3 linked regions of the Macaca mulatta genome follow. The protein of the gene in region 2 purifies or fractionates together with the protein of the main gene of each other region. This does not show direct contact. Links are inferred from orthologs where the notes say so. Each region holds a gene or a part of one and is shown on either strand. Other genes may lie near its edges. The genes, in order: NAT14, SLC39A12 and ABHD12.

The links.
Region 1: the proteins of SLC39A12 (region 2) and NAT14 purify together in Homo sapiens (co-immunoprecipitation; 3 studies listed by BioGRID and IntAct, counting the BioPlex papers as one, with this or other methods). This does not show direct contact. The link is inferred for Macaca mulatta from reciprocal best matches to the Homo sapiens genes SLC39A12 and NAT14.
Region 3: the proteins of SLC39A12 (region 2) and ABHD12 purify together in Homo sapiens (co-immunoprecipitation; 3 studies listed by BioGRID and IntAct, counting the BioPlex papers as one, with this or other methods). This does not show direct contact. The link is inferred for Macaca mulatta from reciprocal best matches to the Homo sapiens genes SLC39A12 and ABHD12.

The regions. Positions count from the first base shown.
Region 1 is NC_133424.1:67,829,545-67,833,233, reverse strand, and holds NAT14 (putative N-acetyltransferase 14), read right to left. Parts: upstream 2,919-3,689; 5' UTR 2,849-2,918; intron 2,449-2,848; 5' UTR 2,401-2,448; coding exon 2,329-2,400; intron 1,679-2,328; coding exon 1,130-1,678; 3' UTR 522-1,129; downstream 1-521. UniProt on the Homo sapiens protein: Probable acetyltransferase. May act as a transcription factor that regulates the expression of coproporphyrinogen oxidase by binding to a promoter regulatory element.
Region 2 is NC_133414.1:19,527,012-19,530,658, reverse strand, and holds part of SLC39A12 (zinc transporter ZIP12), read right to left. Parts: intron 434-3,647; coding exon 152-433; intron 1-151. UniProt on the Homo sapiens protein: Uniporter that promotes Zn(2+) import from the extracellular space to the cytoplasm across the cell membrane. The transport activity is temperature dependent. May play a role in neurulation and neurite extension.
Region 3 is NC_133415.1:58,819,626-58,823,272, reverse strand, and holds part of ABHD12 (lysophosphatidylserine lipase ABHD12), read right to left. Parts: intron 2,425-3,647; coding exon 2,319-2,424; intron 1-2,318.

The sequences.
Region 1 (3,689 bases), on a different chromosome or scaffold from region 2:
GTTGGGGCTTGGGCAGACCCAGGGGCTCTTGGTGCAGCAGCAAGAAGATTTGCAGCCAGACACCAGGAGGGACTTCCTGGGTTAGGAAAAGAGACTGAAAGACCCGTCCCTCCAGTCCTCCCCGTCACTGGTGGATCTGAGTGTGAAGCCCGCAGTCCCCAGCTGAGAGAGGAGAGTTTGAACTTCACCGTCCCAGAGGGAGCTGGGGTCGGGGGATAAGCAGCACAAGGGTCAAGGCTTGGGAAGGGGAGGGGCTCCACACACTCCTCCACACACTCACACACACCCCACTCCCTGCGCACCAGGCAGCTGTGAGGTGGAAAAAATTCGGTAATAGGGAGCGTGACTCAGAAGGGCTGGCAGGGCCCAGGGCTGCCCCTGAGCTCACAGCCTCCCCTTCTCCCAGTCCAGCACCGCCCCCCAACAATTAACGTTAACTGGGGAAAGGAGGAGCCAGACAGAAATGGGCGGGGGGTGTCCGGAGACAGACTGGGAAAGGCATCAAAGATGAGACAGGCACACAGCGGTTCCAGGCTTTATTAACAAACGGTGGAAAAAACCACATGGGTCTGGGGGAAGGGACAGGGCTGCCCATCTCAGCTCTCGACCGACCTTCCCGGAGAGGGGCCAGGCCTGGCAGCCCTGTGCGCCGCGCCCGCTAAGCAGTCAACCTTGTCCCCTCCAAGCACAGGCATCTGACCCAATCTGGGTCCCAGGGAGGCGGAGTCGCAAACCCTAACTCGAGGGCATATTGTGCTGGGCCTCCTCTCCCCCTCCCCAGATAGCTCTCCCAGGCTTGGGGCACAGACTTTGCAGACATCCACCGGGGAGATTTCTCAGTGCAGACAGAGCTGAGGTAGGGGTTTTGGAGAGGCTGACCTCGAGAGGCCCCTGAGGGCCAGGAAGGAAAAGGAGTCATTTCACTCTTAGAAGCTCAAACACTCCAGACCTCACACTGCCGACTGCCGGGCACAGGCCAGGCTCCTCCCTCGGCAGGCCTCTGTTTCTGGGCCCTGGGTGGCTGAGGACTCACCGAGGGAGAGCACGTAAAAGCACCTGCACACAGTAGGCGCTCTGCAGGTGCTGGCGCCCCTCCCTCCTTCCCTGCCCTGGCTGTCAGCCTGTAGCCTCACAGGTCTTTGCTGAATTCCCTCACCAGCGTGTAGCCCAGGCAGCCCCAGCCCCCCTCGGCCTGGTAGCCGCAGCCCTCCAGCATCCCCGCCACTCCCCAGGCAGCCACAGCCACGGGGACCACGAGCCGGGCCCGGGGCTCCCCCATGCCCCCAGCCCAGGCCCGAGCCCGGGCCTCCGCGAAGGCCAGCAGCCTCCTGCCCACGCCCCGGCGGCGGTGCCAGCGAGAGACAGACAGGCGGGTGACCCGGGCCCCGTCCCCTGCGTTCGTGCCAGGGGCCAGGGCCAGGACCCCACACACGTCACCGGAGCCCCGCACGGCCACCCAGGGCCCCCCCAGGCCACCCGGTGGAGGCAGTGAGCCCCATCGGGCCCGCAGGCCCAGCTTCACCGCAGTCACAGCCAGGAACACCGGCAGGAGGAGGGCCAGGGCGAAGGAGGCCAGGACAAAGCGCAGGCCGCTGCTGGCCGCCGCCAGGAGGAGCAGGGCCGGCGGCCGTGTCAAGGCATGGAGGGCCACGCGGTTTTCCGTGTCCTTCACGCCGGCCTGTGGGCAGGAGGGGTGGCTCAGCCATCCAAAACACTAGGGCCTCCTAGAGAGAGGTAGACCCTGCCCGGGGTGGGGCGAGGGCTCCCAAATGGGAAGGGAAAGCAGCACAGTCCGATGGTCACCAGTGTGGCACGCTGGGTGTGGAGTGAATGAACGAGAGTGAATGATGGATGGAAGAATGAATCAGGAGCTGTGGGGGCACTCAATTCAGTAGCAATGCCGCAGTGAGGCGCCAGGGAAGTAGGGACAGGGAGCCTGCCTCAGGCTGGAGTGGAGGCTGGAGGGGGGCTGCTAGGCTAGACTGGGGGGCTGGCTATGCTTTGAAGAGCTGGGGTCGGAGGCACAGAGCTGGCTGTTGCGCTGGAGTGCCGGGCCCCCTGGAGATGCGAGACTAGGGAGGGCGTTAGTGCTGCGGTCCCAGTAGGGCTGGGGGGTGAGCCCCCGGCTGCCACACCTGCTGCAGCTTTCAGCAGCACCTCCAGCTGCTGAACACCTTCCCGGCCCCCAGGGCGGCTGAGGACCGGGAAGAAAAGATCCCGCTCCGGGGGTTCAGGCTGGCTCAGGTGGGTGGGAGGGGGTGGCTGAATCCACTTGCAATGCCCCCGCTTCCAGCCACTCCTAGGCCCCCTGGGGCCCCTGCCTCTCACCTTCAGCATCTCCAGCACCAGGGGCTTCTCATCCTCCCTCATCTCCCGCACTGACAGGTGGCTGGGGGCCATGGCAGCCCCCAGGCCCCCGCCCCCAAGAAGGGAGCTGGCGTCGTGCACCTGGTGAGAACACAAGCAGGTCAGCGCCAGGGGGGCACCTCTGTCCCCAAAGCCCCCCGAGGGGTGGGGAGCAGCAGCAGCAGCACTTCCCCGATCAGGACAATGAGAGCCCTCGGGACCTACAAGCGAGGCTCTGGGCAGGACAGGCGCCCCCCACAATACTCAGCGACCTTGCTAGTCTCCAGGACCCCCCTCCCCCGTATTACTCAGCGATCTACACTCCTAAACACGCTGTGGACGCCCACACTTTGCAGCACGGGGCTCCCTCCCAGGCACGGGGCCACGAGCCCCCTCCCCACATGCCGGAGAACGGACCACGCTCGCTCCGCCCCGGTCCCCAGCGCCCCCTCCCCCACAGTCGTCCCCGTCCCGCGCCACAAGAACAAGGACCCGCAAGCACCTGCACGGGTCGCCTTTGGTCCTTTGACAGGGTTTCGGGAGCGGGTCTGGAGGGGGTCGTCGGCGGAAGTGACGTCAGACCGCGCGCGCTGGGGGCGGGGCGTTGCCCGCTGCGGGTCGTAGCAACCGTTGCTAAGCTCCCGGGAGGGCGGGCGGGGAGCAGTGACCCTGCGGCGGGCCGGGAGGTGACCTCTCCTATCCCTAGAGAAGGAGCAACGGGGAAAGGGGACCTGGGGAAAAAGGGCAGCGGGCGCCGGCAGGAGACGGGCGGCGGGCTGGGGACCAGCGCGAGCTCCCGCCCCACGTTCCCTCGTTGCTGAGCAACCTGAGCGCGGGGCAGCGATGCCCGCGGGTGGATTCTCATGGGTGCCGCGCTCAGCATCCCCCAGCCCAGCGGCGCCCCACCCCCCCATCCCCAGGGACCCCGTTCCCCCCACGGGGCGCCCGGGCTCGCAGGGCCCTCCCGCATAAGGATCCCCCTATTTCTCAGAGGAGGGGTGCAGCAGGGCGACCTACAGTGAACAAGTGGCGCTCCCTGGAGTCAGATGCCACCACCTCCCCACTGTAATGACCCCTGCGTCTTTTGGTTTCAGGACAGGGGAACTGAGCCCCACGTAGTGGCTGGCCCCAGGACGCTGACCCAGGACGCACGAGTTAAGACTCCACGCTCCCAGGCGGGGGCTAGGACCATGACTTTCCCCCTCCGCTCCCCTCAGGAAAACAGAACACAGGCGGGGAGACTCGGGTCTTTATTAGGCAAGGCCAGCCTGCAGCACCCCGCCCCGCCCCGCCCCGGCTGGCAGTGAGTCGGGGTCTCTGTGTGGGGCGGGAGGGGAATCACT
Region 2 (3,647 bases):
ATTATGTCATTTAACATCTCATAACCAAAACCCACAAATACTTACCTCCCTTAGAAGTTCTTGAATGTCTTTGAAATAAATAAGGAACAAACAATAAGGCTCTAGGACTGTATCTCAGTAGCAGAACCAGTTAGCCATTTTGCCTTCTTACCTGGCTTTGAGAAGTGTCAAAGTACTGCCTGGTGAAAGCCAAGATATCTTCTGTCTCATTCTGTGAAAGGAAAGAGGAGTCTTCATCCTGCCTGAGGCTCAGTAGGCTGTGTAGGTAAAATTTATACTCTTTATTACTCATGTTGAGCTTTGAAGAACAGATCTCTTCCTGGTGAATAATGTAATAGAGAAGGAGAAGAGAAACTCTCTGGACTACTTCTTCTCTAAGCTGATCTTCAAAATTTCCTCCAGCTATTAGTAATAGTGCATCTGGTTCAAAGCACTGTGGAAGAAAACAATGACAGCAACAAGAGAAACAAAACTTAGCAAATAGTTCCAGAACACTAATGACCACCAGGGTCTTTGCTACTTATCATTTTATAAATAGAAAGGAAAAGCAGGCAGGATCAATAGCCAGATTCAAAGAGTTGGACTCCCATATAACAATGATGCCCTTCCATGGAACCCTCTTTTTCCACTAAGAGTAATTCCTGACTCCAACTAGGGTGGCCACAAGTTGTTGACCTGTTGCCTGTGTAAAACAGATTATTCTTTGGCTTTTAAAGTGATGCCCATTTGCTTTTAGAACAAAATCCAAACTCCTGGCAATCTTCTTTTTGTTCTGGCTCCTGTCTACTCTACCCTTCCTTCTCTTAGCCTTAGTCCAGCACCTCACTTAACTTCTGCCCCTGTGATTTTATGTCAATTTCACCAAGTTCTTTCCCACAATCTTCCAGGTCTCCTTGTTCCCCTCATTCTTCAGGTTTCAGGCTAAAATGTCACCCTCTCACAACACCTTCCTAAAGATTCCCAACCTGCGTTCCCTAGTACAGAACTATCTGATAGAAATACAAGTCACACCGCAAATATGAGTCACATATGTCATTTGAAGTTCTTTAGCAGCAAGATTTTAAAAAGTAAAAAGAAACAGCTAAAAGTAACTTTTGTAATATTTTAACCTTATGTACCAAGATTAAATTATTTCACCGTGTAATCTAAATTTTTAAAATTAAAGATATTTTATATTTTTCTTCTTGAACAGTCTTTGAAAACTGGTGTGCATTTTATGCTTACTAGCACATCTCAGTTTGGATGAGCCACGAATCAAGCGCCCAACAGTTACATGCAGGCTAGTGATTACTGTGCTGGACAGCACAATTCTGGAATACACCATTTAAAAATTTTTCTTCATAGCACTCGTATTGTAAAATTGCTTTGTTTACTTGTTTATTCTCTCTCTTCTCTATGAGAACCAGTGGTCCATAAAGAGTAGATTTTGTCTGCTTTTTGCATAGGTCTATCCTCAGCATATAGCACGATATCTGGCACTTAAGAGGTGTAAAAATTTTACAAACGACTTCCATCTGCCCCTCTTCTAGCCTATTTAGGGAAATTGCCAAAAATGATTTTGTTGAAGGGAATCAGAACATACTGCCCCAAAATATGCCACCATAGCATATTGATTATTTTGAGCTGAAGGCAACTGAGAAACAGCAGGCATGGGAAGGATTCTCTGCCCTGCCCCTTACTATCTAAAAGCGGGGCATAAGTTTCCCATGAGAAAGGTATCCTTGCTGTATCAGGAAGAGGAGAACGTTCTTATCACTGGAGATGGGGAGTTAATGCTGAGATGAACCTATACAAACGAACCTTGCTAAAATAATCCTCCATTGGTATAATTGTTAAAAAAAAAAAAAAAAAATTTGGTTTCACATATATATTTCCTAGTCACTTTCCCACAATTTACCATCTCTAGTCCAAATTCACTTTTTTTCTTACTCTTGTCAGATCCCCACAATTTATTACTCTTTGTTTAAATGATTTATAACCCCCTGGGTCTAACCACTTCTTTGGAGTTTTCACTTTCTTTATGATGCCCCTATTCCACATAAAAATATTAACATCAAATAAAATGTGTGTGCTTTTTCTCCTGTTAATCCATCTTTTGTCCATTTAGTTCACAAGCCCCAGCTACAGAATTTAAGACGTTAGAGGAAAAGTCTTTCCTCCCCTGCACTGTGCTGCCTTATTGGTTTCACAAACCACAAGCACATGCCCAGCTCCTGCAATCTGAGAAGTTTATGTGGCATAAGGGATTTGGATAAGTGTTGTGGGACAGTGAGAAAAAGACACAGGAATCGTGGCCAGAAGCTTTCTCAGCAAGAGGGAAGCTGCCTTTCTTCAGAGACAGTTGGGGAACTCCTGAGAATTCTCACAGGATCTGAGAAGCAGCCCCAGGACACAGCCACAGAGTGAAAGCATTGAGAAACGCCTGTCCTGACTCCCAGACAGATTTGTGCCATGGTGGGGATATTGTACTACAATATATTTTAATCTAGTCTTCTTTGAAGTGGAAGTTTTGGGGGTTCTAATTTCAGGTCTGCTGTACAACCCACTGTGTAGCATCTGCTATGTAATCATCTGAGTCAGGAAGAAACAAATGTCATCCATCTCCAAATCAAAGCATAATCACATTCTTCATAAAACCACATAGACTTTAATCCCTCCTGAACCCAACTGCAGGGGGTCAAGTACTCAAACAGAGGGGACCCAGGGGTTCCACTAAGACCAACTCTCAATGTGGATATTAGGCTCCACTTCTAAAACCTCGGCATCCATTTTCTGTTCCCTAAGTAACCCAGAAGAAAAGTCCACACCTTGGTAGCTGATGGCAAGGCTGACACCAAGACCCAAAAGGCGAATCCATTGAAATAAAAGTGGAATAAAGCTATTCTCTGTACCAAATAACCTCCTGAAACTAAACTATTGGTACCATTAACTACAATTTGCTGGTAGCCATGTGCCCAGCAATGTGCAGAGTACCTTTTACATTCAGTTATGCCTTGCTGTATAATCTCATTGGTTCTGAAAAATGCCCAAAGTAATGAATTTTTTAGTAATAAGAAACCTATTTTATTATTTTAAGTGTGAGAAACAAAATGTCTCCGGCCTATGTAATAAGCCACCAAATATTTCTAAATATTTGATTTTTATAATATAAAGCAACTAGAAGACCAATTACTCAATTATTTAATGCACAACGAATTAATGCATACATTTGTGTACAGTATGCAAGGATATTGCAAGGAACATATGAGTTACATCTTTCTTCATGAGAAAAGTTTACCCATAGAATATGTGAAAACCAAGACTAAAGTGGTAAGAAACTTGCCCAAAGCTACACAGCTAATGGTGGAGAGCACTGTTAGTCACAATTCCTGCTCTTCCAAGAGCAGGACCCATTCTTTTATTCCTTCCTTTTGTGCCATGGAGAACACAGGCTGTGGACCCATTGACGTACTTGATGGGCAACCCCTCAACCAGTAATTTTCTCTCCCTCCTATTTGATGGGAATAGAGGTCAGTTAGGTGGCTAAGAGATTGGTCCAAGCCTAACATCAATAAGAACAAGGATATGGTACAACCAGAGCATGGAATGAGTTTATGTTATACTTTCAAGTGCTGCTCAGGTTGTTTGATGGGGCTGGGTAGGTAGTA
Region 3 (3,647 bases), on a different chromosome or scaffold from region 2:
CCAAATCGAATATTGTTAATCACTGGGGAGGGTCGAAATTAATCACTTTTCTGTAAAGCTTCTTCAAATTCATTCTGGATAACAGTGACAAGAATCTTTAAAAAAAATTTAATGGCCAACTTCTTATTTTCTAGATTTTAAGCTTCAGCATCTCATCTAACTTCTGTCTCTGATCCGTTCAAGAGGATCACATTTTGGGGTGGATCTAGTCACTATGATCATCACTCCCACACGGTTATAAACTTGAGGGATAGGACGGCACATTTTGAAGGTGCTGGGAGCAGATGTGCTTCCAGTAGCCAGCCCACCCCAAACCTGGGTTCCTGACAAAGAGCCAGGGAACTCCTAGCCAGCAGAGAAACCCATTCCTGGGCCTCTTCTCTCAGCAGACAGGCGATGGCCAGGCATGGCCAGGTATGGCCCCCAGGCTTCACGCTAGGCCTTGAGGCCCTCCTTTCAGGAAGCTGGTGGGAGGGTTTGATGAAGTGATGGTGGGGGCAGTTGGTGAGCTGGGCCCGCTGCTACCTGAGGGCCCACTGTCATTGTGACTGCCTAGGGCATGAGAGTAGGCAGCAGCCACACCCACCAACACACAGCAACACACAGCGTGGCACCGCCTTGAGACTTGCCACTAGCATCACTAAACAAAACCTTTTCTGGTAACTGATAATATATGCAAATGTTGTTAGTACTTCCAGCCTACGTCTTACCACCATAAACACCCTCCTGCAATAGGACAGACTCATATTAACCAAGAAGAGGGCTGACCAAGTCCCACTCAGCAGCTCTGTGCAAAACAGGTCACGCTTCAGACAGAAACCCAGAGTCCCACAGTCACACGTTGGTCAGTAAATGCTAGATTAAATCAAATCAGGAAGTGACAAAAGACTTTAATCCTAGCACCAACTACTAAGAACAAAAATCTCTCTTCTTGTTTTATGTTCTTTACCAAGGACCACTGTTAGAAATGCCTGAATGTTCTCTCATCCACACTGGGAAGCTACTCACAGCATTTCATTTAGAAGCTTCTCACATACACAGTGGTTTTCTGAGACAGCGGAAAGGGACGTTATGGCTACTGAAAAATAAATTCAGCTAGATAAAGGGGCTGTGATTCAGGATCACTTCTCAGAGAAAAAGGGAAATGCCACAGTGAGGTTGGTCGATTTTAATTCAGTTGTTCAGAAGCACCATTTATGTACAGAAGAAAACATTAAAATGTATTCCAAGGAGACACAGAGAAGTCACGAGGCTTATGTCCAACGTAAATTTATGGCTTAAAAAAGTAAATACTTAGAAGATAGCCAACACCATCACCGAAGCTATATGTGAAAAGAAATCAAGCTGTTTTCACTTCTTGGAAAAGATATATATATATATATATTTTTTTTTTTTTTTTTGGAGACAGAGTCTCCCTCTGTTGCCCAGGCTGGAGTGCAGTGGCACAATCTCGGCTCACTGCAGCCTCTGCCTCCTGCGTTCAAGCAATTCTCTTGCCTCAAACTCCCGGGTAGCTGGGACTACAGGTGCGTGCCACCACGCCCGGCTAATTTTTGTACTTTTTTTCAGCAGAGACGGGGTTTCGCCATGTTGTTTAGGCTAGTCTCGAACTCCTGATCTCAAGTGATCCCCCTGTCTCGGCCTGCCAAAGCGCTGGGATTACAGGCGTGAGCTACCGCGCTTGGATGGAAGATATATTCAAAAGAGTGTTTGCGATTCTTCCCTTATATTCTTTTTTTTTTTTTTTGAGACAGAGTCTTGCTCTGTCACTCAGGCTGGAGTGCAGTGGTGTGAATTCAGCTCACTGCAACTTCTTCCTCCTGGGCTCAAGTGATTCTCCTGCCTCAGCCTCCCAAGTAGCTGGGATTACAGGCGTGCACCACCATGTCTGGCTAATTTTTGTATTTTTAGTAGAGACAGGTTCACCATGTTGCCCAGGCTGGTCTCAAACTCCTGGACTCAAATGATCCACCCGCCTCGGCCTCCCAAAGTGCTGAGATTACAAGTGTGAGCCACTGTGCCGGCCACTTACATCCTGTTTATAGCTTCTTTGTTTGTTTTTCCTAGAAACAAGGTTCTCTAAAAATAATAATCTGTTCACAAAGCCTTTGCTGTTTTGAAAGCCTGGGAATAGAGTTTAAAGTCACTGAATCCCTCAACACTAGGATCAAATGTACTGAGATCTTTCCTTTAGGAAAGGAAGAGGTGAAGATAAAAATGAACAACATTTCAGAGGCCAGTGTCAAAGACAGCACCAGCTCACCCATGTAGGGCCTTTTCCTGCTGCTGGAAGGGCTACAGAGCTTACCAGTACTTACCAGACTCCAATGGTCACATCTTCCTCTGGCTGCAGGTAGTAGTTACATGTGTGATTCAAACCTTGATCCTGTGGTTTTTTCAAATCAATGAAATAGGGAACCCTTACTGTAGGAAATAAAGAGATGGAAATTAGGATTACTGGTGGATTAATACACACACGTACACACAGACATGCATACAAGCATGCACACTCACACACATGCACACATATGCATCCACACGTACACACACACATGCACACCCACATGCACACACTGCAGAAGCTCTCAGAAAGCACCAAGTCCTTTTCCTGTGCAATCTTACAATGGTGCCAGACCTGCAGGCCCAGCCTCAGGCAGGGTATGGGCTGAGGCCAGCATGGGCAGGGACAGATACTGCAGTGAGGGCGAGGTCTGTGTAGAGACTGGAACGCTAAGGTCTAAGGTCACTCAAGGTGTGAGAAGATGCAAGTAAGGGAAGGAAAGATCCCCAACAGGTCTTAAGGATGGGCCAGCCAGGAGGGAGGCTAGGGAGGCTGAGCCTGCGAATAACTCAGGTGCCTAGTGGAGTGGGACATACACAGCAGGAAAGGGGATGGCGCTAAAGGATCTGATGAGCGTAGGGTGGCAAACAAGGTAAAGGGGATTCCAAAGTTTCTAGGACTGTTGCCTAACACAGAAAAGACAGCAGAAGGTGAGGTGTGGGGGCAGCAAGAGGGATGAATCCACAGGACCCATGCAGAGCAGAGTGAAGTCAGTGCAATGGCCCAGCAGAAGTCCTACATTGACCAGGTCATCTGCCAGCAGGACAGCAAGTGAATTAACCAGCACTCCACACTGTGGAAGACCATGAGGCCCTTAGACCTGGAGGAACCTCCAGGACCTGCGGGCAGAGAGGAGCAAGGTGACTGTGGGTGCAGGTGCGGTAGCCCCACTTTGCTATTGTAAAAACATGCCAATGAAACACAACCCCCACATGTGGCTGGGAGGAAATACAGAAAGACAGAAGCCAGGCTGCTCATATAGCTTCAAAGTGTGTGTGTGGGGAGAATGGGGGCAATTTTTTCCTTATATACCATTATAGTCTTATTGCTTTTGGTGAACACAACTTTAAAATAAGTTTAACTGAAAAATAAAAAATTTAAAATAAACCCATGAACCCTGAGGTGGGATTTTTCTGCTTTATAAAATGGCAACTCCCAAAAGAGGCAGTGACAGAGAGCAGTGCGGGCCTGGCTTCCCTCTGGCGGGTCCTGCCCCTGGGGAAGCTCTGCTGCTGACAGCTGTCTCTGGTGAAGACAGGGGTTGCATGACTCCCACGTCCGCGTGGCACACTGCACATCTAGCCTC